Linked DNA regions of Caenorhabditis elegans. The protein of the gene in region 1 purifies or fractionates together with the protein of each later gene. This does not show direct contact. Each region holds a gene or a part of one and is shown on either strand. Other genes may lie near its edges. The genes, in order: C30G7.3 and usp-3.

Region 1 (5,886 bases):
CTTGCAGGTAGCCCTCAAAAGTACGAAAAAAAAATTGAAACCAATGTTTTTCTCGCCAAATAATTTGTTTCATCGGGAAAATAATAACGAAAAAGTTTCACAATTAAATATTATTAGTCACATTTCCAAAATAAATCATCATCAATTGTTTGCGATAACAAAAAAAACTTCGGAATTCTTAACACCTAGAAGCAGCCGTCTGAAAAGTACAAAAGCTATTATATTTATGACAAAAATGACATTTAAAATTGATTCTATATTTTCAGAAGCTGTAAGTTTTTTCCAATTCAAAAACATATAGGATACAAATGATTTCTACTTCAAAGAATTCCAGAACTTCAAACATGGCAGTTTTTGATTTCATCATTGGTTTCGGCTTCATGTTAATTGCTCTTTTTCTCATTTTCCTATACCTCAACAAGGATGGGCACATTTCAATAGCTATCAAAAAAATATTAACGAATTCAAGACAAAAGGCAAAAGATTTGAAGGATGGTTCAACATCCGACCCATCAAAAACGACACCAGCCGCACCTGCATGCTCTCCAGTATCAAATGAGGAAATAACAATACCCTCAGATGTTCAATCGGTGAATAATACTTTATCAGAAATTTCATTGTCAGAAGCTGAAGTTCAAGTTGATGAAGAGAATCCAAATATTGTGAAAATCCATGTAATTTGATGACTGTTCGCATTTCTAGTCATCATTTTGAAATTTAATAAACCAATGCGACATCGTAGTTTACTTCACCGTTGTCAATTTTTGTAGATGTACTGAAAATGTGTTTGAAATTTGTCCAATTGCAAAAATAATAATTAAAAGCTGACAATAATCATCTATTGTTCACAATGACGAAGAAATTCTAAATGCTTCTTACATAGAAGCCGACTGATAAATATAGAACTATAATATTTATGACATGATAGCATCCAAAATTGTTTCTATATTATAAAAAGCTGTAAGTTTTTTGTTCAATTTGATGGGATGGCAGCAAAAAAGTTACAATTCGACGTTAAACCATCACAACCCAGATTGACCTCGCAATGAAATATTTGACCAACTGTAGATTAAAAAACATATACCGTATTATTTCTATTAGTCTTGCACCAACAATGCTTAATTCCGAGATTTTTAGAAGATAATTTAAGTTATTTTCGTAGCATTAAGCCATATTGGTTATCATGATATCTGACTCAAATTTGGTGTCTTGGCTCTATTCTCGTGCAAACACCAAAGTCGCGTTAAAATATTTCATTAACCTAGGGAACTGCCACAAAAGTTGCACACTTTATTATCCACGACAATTGATTTCTTGGCTTTTGTGAATAAAAAATAATGTTTTTCGTAAATGAAAAATTTCAAATGATGGATTTTCCGGAAATTAATAAAAAATTATCAATTTTTCAAAAATTAAAATTTCATATTATCGACTTTTCAAAAAAAAAAAATTAAAACTTCACATTATCGATTTGTCAAAAATTGAAAATGGCAGATTACCGATCATTCAAAATTTATCGATTTTTACAGGAAGATGGAAAGTATGTAACTCTGAAATCTAATGTCGTGGAAAATGGTTTCTACTCGGGAGTCTTATAGATTTTTTCTCATTAATTTATTGATTTTTGTATTGTCATGATCTCAATTTGAAAAAAAGAAAGAAAATGTAATAATTATCGATATATTTTTTTAAATAAAACTGTTTTTGAAATTAAATCTTCACGTGGCCTTTTCGAATTTTGTTATTCTCAACAATAATCGATAATCCGTGAGATTGATAAAATCGATAAATTTCAATTATTTCTCACTTTTATACTCGTCAATACCACATTTATTACTCGCCGCTTATTCACATTACTCCAATGAACTGCAGACAATCAAAGGTGAGGTGCACGAGAAATGCGCCAGCATTTGCTTGCGCAATTCACGATACCGTATATTTTTCAGAAAAATTCTCACATCTGGGACAACGTCTGTACCGCCGGCACTCGTCGTAATCCGTATTACGTCTGCTGTGAGTTTGAGAGTCGGGAAAAACTGATAGTTTTTGTTGTTTCTGTTCAAAAATCGATAATTTCTCAAAAATAAATATTTTGAAAATTTAGAAAATATCGATTTTTCCGTAAAATCTATATTTTACACAAAAATTTTCACCTACGTGTAATTATCGATTTTTGTTCCAGAAAAGAGTTAAAATTAAAATTTTCGAATTATTGATTTTTTTGTTGGTAAAAATAGCATACAGGGTGGGCCAAAAGTATGGTAACACATGAAGCGCTCTTTTACATGAGCTTTTCGCGCGACTGCCACGTCATACGTACATTCTTCTATCGAATACTGATAGCTGAATAAATTTCCTTCAATTTGACTCAAAATTTGTAATGTTTCCCAATAAGGTGCGATCTTTATCACCTCGACAATTTGGCGAACCCTTTCGAAAAAACGGTAATTTGGCACGCGGCACTTCCCACACAAACACACCTCCCACGCACGCCAATAATTTTCAGATGTATGATTTTTATGTTAAATTGAAAGTTAAAGAAGTGAAGAAGCGTTTTTAATTGTTTTTGTAGCATATAAAAATGTTCTGTGTCGACACTGGCGCCTAGCAAGAACCTTTGTATATTTCATGAATTCAACTTTGCGAAATTTACTCAGTTTTTTTGGTTTCGCAAGGCGTAACGACCCACAAAATCATCCGAGCTCAATTTTCTAAAAAAATTCTGGAAAGTCAGGTCAAAACGTCTCGAAAAATACTAAAATAAATTTATCTGAATACTGCTACTCGCCGCTCACATCCATCTTTCTGGCGACTATGCCATTCAAGACTTAACCTACTGCCGCAGTCCATGACAGAAATACCGTGATAGAAAATATTTTGATTTTTGTTTTTAAAGAATCTCTAGACCAAGGGCATTCTTTGAACTATAAAAACTTGTAAGACACTTTATGGATTCCTCAAGAAAAATGTAGAAATCCCGCAGAATGCCGACTTGCGTGCCATAAAGATCGTGATCTCAAAAGTTCTGAAGGCCTGCAGCAATGCGGATGGATATATTTTGAAAATTCAAAACGTTCATCTGGTCAGTATTTTATGGAGAACAAAACTTGTACAAATTGATGTAATAACTCTCTCCACTAGTAAAGTTATAGAGCTGCAAACGTGTTACCATACTTTTGGCCCACCCTGTAATTCCTAAAAATCAATACTTCGAAAATATTTTTGATTTTAAGTAAAAAGCGATATTTTTTCACGTTCTTTTTTTTGATTATCGATTTTATGCAGACGGCACCACCGGCTCCACCACCTCATCACTGTCAATTTTGGAATTTTCACGTGAACAAATCACCGTAGTGTCGCCACGTGTCAAATGTCCCCTCAAGGTGAGAATATTGGAAAAAAATCATTTCAAAATTTGATCGCTGTACAAAATGCCATTTTTAACAACTATCTATCGTCAGATTCCGACCGGAAATGTATTGATTTTTTGATTTTTTGGACTAAAAATCAATAAATCAATATATATTTTTATTTTCAGCAAAAAATTGTGGAAAAACCGAAGAAAAGGAATGTATATGTCACGAACTGGGATCGTGCAGCGGCGGAGCAACCAAAGGCACTTGCCACGTGGATTTATCAGCCATTTGATAAGAGAAAGGTGGGTCGAGAATTGCGCCAAGGCTCTATCATTTTGTTGGCTTGTTGGACATCCTATCAGAAAGACATACCTGAAATTTCAGTTCGATAAGACTATTTTGAGCAGTGTTACCAGGCCTTGAAGTTTCTTATAAGATTAATCGACCGCGTCGCAGGTTGTTTGCTTTGACTAGTTGTAACTTTGCTCCCAGTGGATTGATTTGAAATTTTTTGTGTGGCTAGCTGTGTATTATTACGTACATTCAATTCAAAAAATTTTCAGTACAACAACCGCACGGCATCCGACGCCTTCGACGCCTACCAACACCGCCTGAAACTGAAAAAACTGCCCGAGACAAAGCAAAAAGTCACAAAAACCACCAAAAGACATGTGACTATCAATGAAGCGGCGACTCAAGTCATTCAGGATGTGTGGTGAGTTTGCACTAGAAACGCGCCAAGGCACGAGTTTTGCGTTAAGGCGTTAACAGTAGTATACATACATACATCAGAAATCAATACAGAGAAATCAATACACAGCTCTACGAGCATTTTGAACAATTTTGAACAGTTACGTAGATTTTGAACAGTTACGTAGATTTGAAGTATTGAGAAAAACCGCGACGCAGACTAAAGTTTTGAACCACTGTAACTTTGCTCGCACTGTTCGAAGACTTTCAAAATTTTTTGTGAACGCTCCCAATGTAATTGTTAATATGATGACGTCATCATTGCTCCTTGGCGTATTTTTCGTGCCATGACGCAATTCTTGATCATTAAATTTGAAGCCCTAATTTTCCTAGTTTCAGCCACCTCCAACCGAAATCCTACCAAAAAATTCGCATATCAAATTGTCGAAATGATGAGGTGAAAATCGATAGTTTCTCTGCTAACCGAGTTCCAAAAGACGATGATATTGACGACCTGAACGTGAATGTTCCAGTTGAAGATGATGATGACGTGGAACTCGATGACGTCATCCTTGCTCAAAATCCGGCGTTTTACGGCACAATTGAAGCGGAAAAGTGTGCAGAACGAGTTGCCGCACATCTATCGATGGCCTGTGAAAACATGGAACGTTTGCAATTTGTGACGGAAGCCGTGTATCCACAGAGCGCCGCTCATTTGGTGAGTGATTGCCTAATATGGAAAATAAATATTGATTTTTTTGCAGAAGAAGCTTCAAGAAATCGATGATGACGTCAAGGATTTCAATTGTCAGATGAGACAGCGTCGTGTCAAAGCTTCGAATCCAGGAGTACGTACTTTTAAGTTTCTGTGTGAAATTTCATGGCTGGACCGCGACGCGACACGAAACTCATGAAATTTTTGAAACTTTAGCGTTTTAATTCAGAACATCAAATTAGATGAAAAAAATGAACCACAGAAAATTTCAGAGCTGTAGCCACATTTTGAGCAAAGTTAAGGTGGTTTGAAAGTCCTAGCGACACACGACGCATGTCAAAACTTGCAGTTACCCTAACTTTGCTCTTAGTAGACACAGAGCTCTGAAATTTTTTGAGCGTGCTCCCCATGCAATAGAAAACTTGTTTGCGCAATTTTGGTGCCTTGCAAACACCATAACCGTGTAAAAATATTTTATTATTCCAGGGAACAGTCACAAAAGTTGCACACTTCATTATCCACGGCAATTGATTTTCCTCGATTTTTGCGAATAAAGAATTTATTGATTGGATTTCCAATTTTTTAAACCTTTTTTGTAGTCACCTAACAACCCGGATTTTCAAGTAGATTTTTAACAATTTTCAGGAAAGCGAATAACTGGAAATAATGCCTAAGTGCCTAAGACTAAGCCTAAAAATGAGCCTAAGGCTAAACCAAAAAAAATCCTAAGCCTAAGCCCTGTGACATAAGCCGGCAAAGTGAAGCAAAACGGCTTGTTTTTTGCGCTGTTATGAGCTTCATTCTTATTTGTTAGACCTTGTGTGTCCCCAAGCCAAGCTATTTCGTCGACATGATGATAAAAATTGGTTTTTGATTTAAACGAATTTTTTGACGCCATACTTATTTATTCGAGAAAAAATAAGCATATATAAAATAGGAAATTCAACAGAGAGTCAAACAAATTAAACGCTTTTTCAAACTGAACTTTCAGGAAAAATAGCAATACGTTTTATCTGAAAAGGGTTGTTTGCTATTATATTGTTTTGTTGCAGAGAACTTATTAATAATATTTATTTTTAAAAAAACCATGTTTTTAAAATTGAAACCAGATACCAAAATAAAAAA
Region 2 (4,841 bases), on another chromosome or scaffold:
CAAGCAAAGAACCGAAAAGCTTTGAAAGCTGCGAAGCCTGCTATCCGCCCCGCAGGCGAAGAACGGATCGACCAAGTACCCTGAGTGGCGTGCCAGGACTCGGAGTAAGCATTCAAAAAAATTAACAACGACAAATGGGTGCAAATATAATTGGTGAGACGAATGGAGTGAACAACAAAAAAAAAAGATTTAAGTTTAACAACAATTTCATTAGGAAACAATAACGAGCAGCAGTATTTACTTCTTGCTGGTCTTCTTGACCTCGGACTCGGAGTGATGGGAAGCCGAAGAGCGTCTGCGGGCGATCTTGGCGTCGTGCTCTTCCTTGGAGTACTTGGCGAGGAGCTTGTGGTAGGCAGCGGCGTCATCGCGCATCTTGATCTTCTGGTTGCGCTTCTGGCGGAGAAGGTACTTCTTTCTGGCGATACGAGCTGGGGTGATGAGACGCTGGATCTTTGGTGCGATGGTCTTGGTGACTCCTGGAAATTTAGACAGTTAAAAACTAAATTTAAAGAGAATATTGAAGAAACTCACCATCTGGGAAGGTCTTGTCGTGGGTGATGACGTATTTGGTGACATCGTCGTGCTTGGTCAAGTTGAAGAGCTTGCGGATCTTGGAGGCTCTCTTTGGTCCGAGCTTGCGTGGGAGAACGGAGTCGGTGAGTCCTTCGATCTCTCCATCTCCCTTCTTCACGATGACGAGGGAAAGAGCGGACATGTTGGCGTCGACGATGCATCCACGGACGGACTTTCTCTTGCGCTCTCCGTTCTTGCGCTCACGGTAGCAGGATTGTCCCTTCTTCAAGAGAAGACGAACACGTCCGTTGGTGAGAATTCCTTGCTTCATTGGGAATCCCTGCTTGTCGTTTCCTCCTCCGATTCTGACGACATATCCCTGGAAAAAAGCAACTCGTTTGAAAGAGCCGAGAATCGGTTCAAAAACAAAAACTGGGACTCTCAATGTATGTCTAGTCACAGCCATTTCAGCGAAGAAAAAGCACGTGAAACAATGAGGATTTGACACAGAAACATCACTTCGTTTCTGTGTTTTTGGGTGACTCGCTAACCTTCCACTCGTCACCGAGAGCATCGATGGCGACCTCCTGGGACATGCGCTTCTCGAAGAAGAGGCGAAGCTTCTTCTCCTCATCGACCTCGAACGACTTTTGGAGCCCGGTGGCTGGGTAGGCGAAGTTAAGTCTCATCGCTCAAATATTATTACCTGCAAGAAGAAAAACATTGGAAATGAGTTAACGGGGTGAGAAAAGGAGAAACTGAAGCGAAAAACGAAAACATGGGCCTAAAACTAATAAATTTGATTTTCCAAGCAAATATCCTGCGAAATGTGGAGGAAAACTATCAGGAAAACATTTAAAATTTTGAAAATTCGAAAAAAAAACCGAAAAGTTCGCCTAAAAATGAGAAATTCACCCAAAAATTCGAGGGAAAAATGAAAAAAGGAGCGAAAACTTTTTAGGCCAACGACAATTCCAGTTTAAAGGCGCACGCCCTTCGTGGCGAGACCCATCCCCCATCCGCCTCGTCGTCTGCTGCACCCCACCTTTCCCACACTATCTCGTCCGATGGATTTTATTTTTTTCCAAACTTTTCCGATTTTCCGACTCGATTTTCGGTTTTTCTTCGATTTCCGCCGAAAATTTGCTGTTTTTCTTGATTATCGATTTTTTATCCGCGTTTTAAGTGCCAAAACTTTGCTCTCACACTCAAATTGACTGATTTTCGAATTTTTTCAGATGCTTTGCACCCATATAAAGGCGGAAGATTGTGTGGAGCGTGTGCCCAAGGGGATGTTCCGCAAGAAACAGGACATGGAGGACAATAATTTGTTCTTGGAGGGAAATTCGAATCGTGGGAAGGTGGTGAAGTGAGTTTTTTTGAGAAATTTGGCTAGAAAATGGCTAAAAAAAGCTAAAAATAGCTTTAAAAACTCGTTTTTCTTCCAGAAACCAGGAAATAATTAAAACCTTCTGCGACGAATGCGATAATTGCAATAAATCGCTGATGTGCCTCACTTGCGGACGAATTCTGTGCGGAAGAAACGACTCGGGCCACGCTTTGCATCATTTTGAAGAAACCAGCCACCCAGTCGTCATTGATTGCATTTCTTTCGAGCTTTACTGCTATTCCTGTGATGATGAAGTGTCACTGGACTTTGAGCCATCTTTATATGGAGTTCTAAAATCGCTGAAGCTCCTTTTCGACCGGGAAGACGTTATGGAGGGAGGCGACGGGCCGACTATACCGGCACAGCCTTTTCAGTGCGTATTTTTCGAGGAAAATGGACTAAAAATTGGTTAAAAACCGATATTTTATCGATAAACCCTGCTAGAAATCGAATTTTCCACTGAAAAACGTTACAGTTCTCGTAAAAATCGTATTTCCCATGAAAAGTCCGATAAATTGCGATTTTCAGTGAAAAAAACGCCAATTTTCCTCAGAAATTCCATTTTTCTCTCTGGAATTTCTGAAAATTTTGATTTTTCAGTCAAAAACGTTCGTTTTCTCATAAAAATTTATTTTTCTTAAAAAAAAAAATGAAAATCCTAATTTTCATCGAAGAAACTTTAATTTTCCATTGGGAAATCATTTTTTCCGCAAAAACTTGAACAGAACCCTATTTTCCTCACGAGAATCACTAAAATTCCGATTTTCAGGTGAAAAAACATCAAAAAATCGTATTTCGCCCTAAGAATCCGAAAAATTCCGATTTTTCGGCAGAAACTCATCAATTTCTGCGATAAAATTCATTTTTCCCACTAAAAAGCCCCTAAATTGTGATTTTTCAGGGGAAAAAACATCAAAAATCCATTTTTCCTCCTAAAAAGCCAAAAAAATCCGATCTTTCAGCACAAAAAACTTCAAAATCCGTTTTTGCACCTAAACAGCCCAAAAATTCCGAATTTTTCAACGTTAACACTTTAAATTTATTTTAGAAAATCAGTTTTCACAATGAAAAAGCCCAAAACTTCCGATTTTTCAGCACAAAAAACATCAAAAAATTCATTTAGCCCACGAAAAATCCGATTTTTCCGTCAAAAACCTCATATTTTTACTAATTTTTCAATGAAAAACCTCCATTTTCTAGAGCAAAATCACATTTTTCTAAAAATATTCAAAAATTCCGATTTTTCAGCCCAAAAAACATCAAATATCCATTTTTCCCACTAAAAATCCACAAAAATTCCTATTTTCAGTAGAAAAATCAATTTTTTCCACTATAAATGTTCAAAAATGCGCGGTTTTTCAATAGAAAAACGTAACAATAACTCAATTTCCCACTTAAAAGCTCCCAAACGTTGATTTTTCAGCGTTAAATCTTCAAATTTAATTCAGAAAATCAGTTTTTCAACCAAAAAGCCCCAAAATTCCCATTTTTCAGCAGCACAAAAACATTAAAAAATCCAATTTTCCATATAAAAACTTCCGTTTTCTAGAGCAAAATCACACTTTTCCACCTAAAAATATTCAAAAATTCCGATTTTTCAGCCCAAAAAACATCAAATATCCATTTTTCCACCTAAAAAGCCAAAAAATTCCGATTTTCCACTCAAAAATCCTCAATTTTCTTTCAGAACAGTGACCTCAGTCGCCTCAACATTCACCCAAAAGCTCCACGTGGCTCCAGCTTCTCGAAATTCGAAGAAAAAACGTGGAAAAAAGGGAAAAGTCAGTCCAATGTTCGTCGATACACCACCATTCCAGCAGCAGCAGGGAGCCGCCGTAATTCATGACGTCACACTATCATCCACAAATTCTACGTCATCGGGGTCCGGCGGTGCCACGTCATCATCTGAAATTGCCTATAGGCCACGTGGAATGCGAAATGTTGGAAATACGTGCTTTATGAATGCCGTTTTACAAGCATTAGCGTACGTTTTTCACCTCGAAAGTGTGAAAAATTGGCTTTTTTGAGCCGAAATACATGAAAATCGGCCATTTTTGACCCTGAAAATGCGAAATTCATGCGCGAAAATCGGGTGTTTTCCGCCCCTTGAGAGTGAAAAATTGGTGAAAAACGCGATTTTTGACCCTAAAAATTGAGAATTTCATCGAAAATGAGCAGAAATTGTGATTTTTCCGTGAAAATTGTTAGGAAAACGCAAAAATTAGTTTATATTTTGCGTTTTTTAGTTGAAAATTGCAAAATTCTGCAGAAAACCACGGAAAACTCGTGAATTGTGCGTTTTCCGGTCTTAAAATTTAAAAAAAAAACCCGAAAAATGCGTAAAATTTCCTGTTTTAACGTCAAAAATTTTTCTTTTTTAAGCATTAGCGTACGTTTTTCACCTGGAAAGTGTGAAAAATTGGTGAAAAACGCGATTTTTGACCCAAAAAATCGGGAAAATCATCGAAAATTAGCCGAAATTGTGATTTTCACGTGAAAAATGCAGTTTTCTAGCAGTGAAAGGCTATTTTTCATGGAAAATGCCTCATTTTTTCAATAAAAATCGTAAATTTTACGTTTTTAACGCTAAAAATGCGTAAAATTCACCTTTTGAGGTTCAAAAATCCATTTTTTTTTGGCAATTTTTTCTGAAAATTGTATTTTTATAGCGAAAATTGCGTAAATTTCAACTAAAAATTTGAATTTTTGCCCTAAAAATGATATAAAATGTGTGATTTCACAGAAAAATGCCGATTTTTAATCCAAATACCGATTTTCATGGAAAATTTAACTTTTTCACCTAAAAAATGTCGTTTCTGCAGGTTTTGTTACAAAAATCCTATTTTAATTTCAATTTTTGTTGAAAAATTCAATTTTTATACACAATTTCAACCTAAAAATCGCATATTGAGTAATTTCCTGTGATTTTTCCAGT

Evidence for each region.
Region 2: the proteins of C30G7.3 (region 1) and usp-3 fractionate together in Caenorhabditis elegans (co-fractionation; one large-scale study listed by BioGRID). This does not show direct contact.

Annotation. Positions count from the first base shown.
Region 1 is NC_003283.11:14,941,581-14,947,466, reverse strand, and holds C30G7.3 (MADF domain-containing protein), read left to right. Parts: upstream 1-1,762; 5' UTR 1,763-1,861; coding exon 1,862-1,882; intron 1,883-1,946; coding exon 1,947-2,013; intron 2,014-3,285; coding exon 3,286-3,383; intron 3,384-3,538; coding exon 3,539-3,658; intron 3,659-3,919; coding exon 3,920-4,071; intron 4,072-4,445; coding exon 4,446-4,764; intron 4,765-4,810; coding exon 4,811-4,894; intron 4,895-5,247; coding exon 5,248-5,292; 3' UTR 5,293-5,337; downstream 5,338-5,886. Other genes in the region: C30G7.4 (Matrix-remodeling-associated protein 7), read left to right, coding at 345-683.
Region 2 is NC_003279.8:13,948,542-13,953,382, reverse strand, and holds the start of usp-3 (Ubiquitin carboxyl-terminal hydrolase), read left to right. Parts: upstream 1-1,752; 5' UTR 1,753-1,754; coding exon 1,755-1,885; intron 1,886-1,964; coding exon 1,965-2,279; intron 2,280-3,593; coding exon 3,594-3,890; intron 3,891-4,841. Other genes in the region: rps-6 (Small ribosomal subunit protein eS6), read right to left, coding at 238-479, 535-895, 1,068-1,205.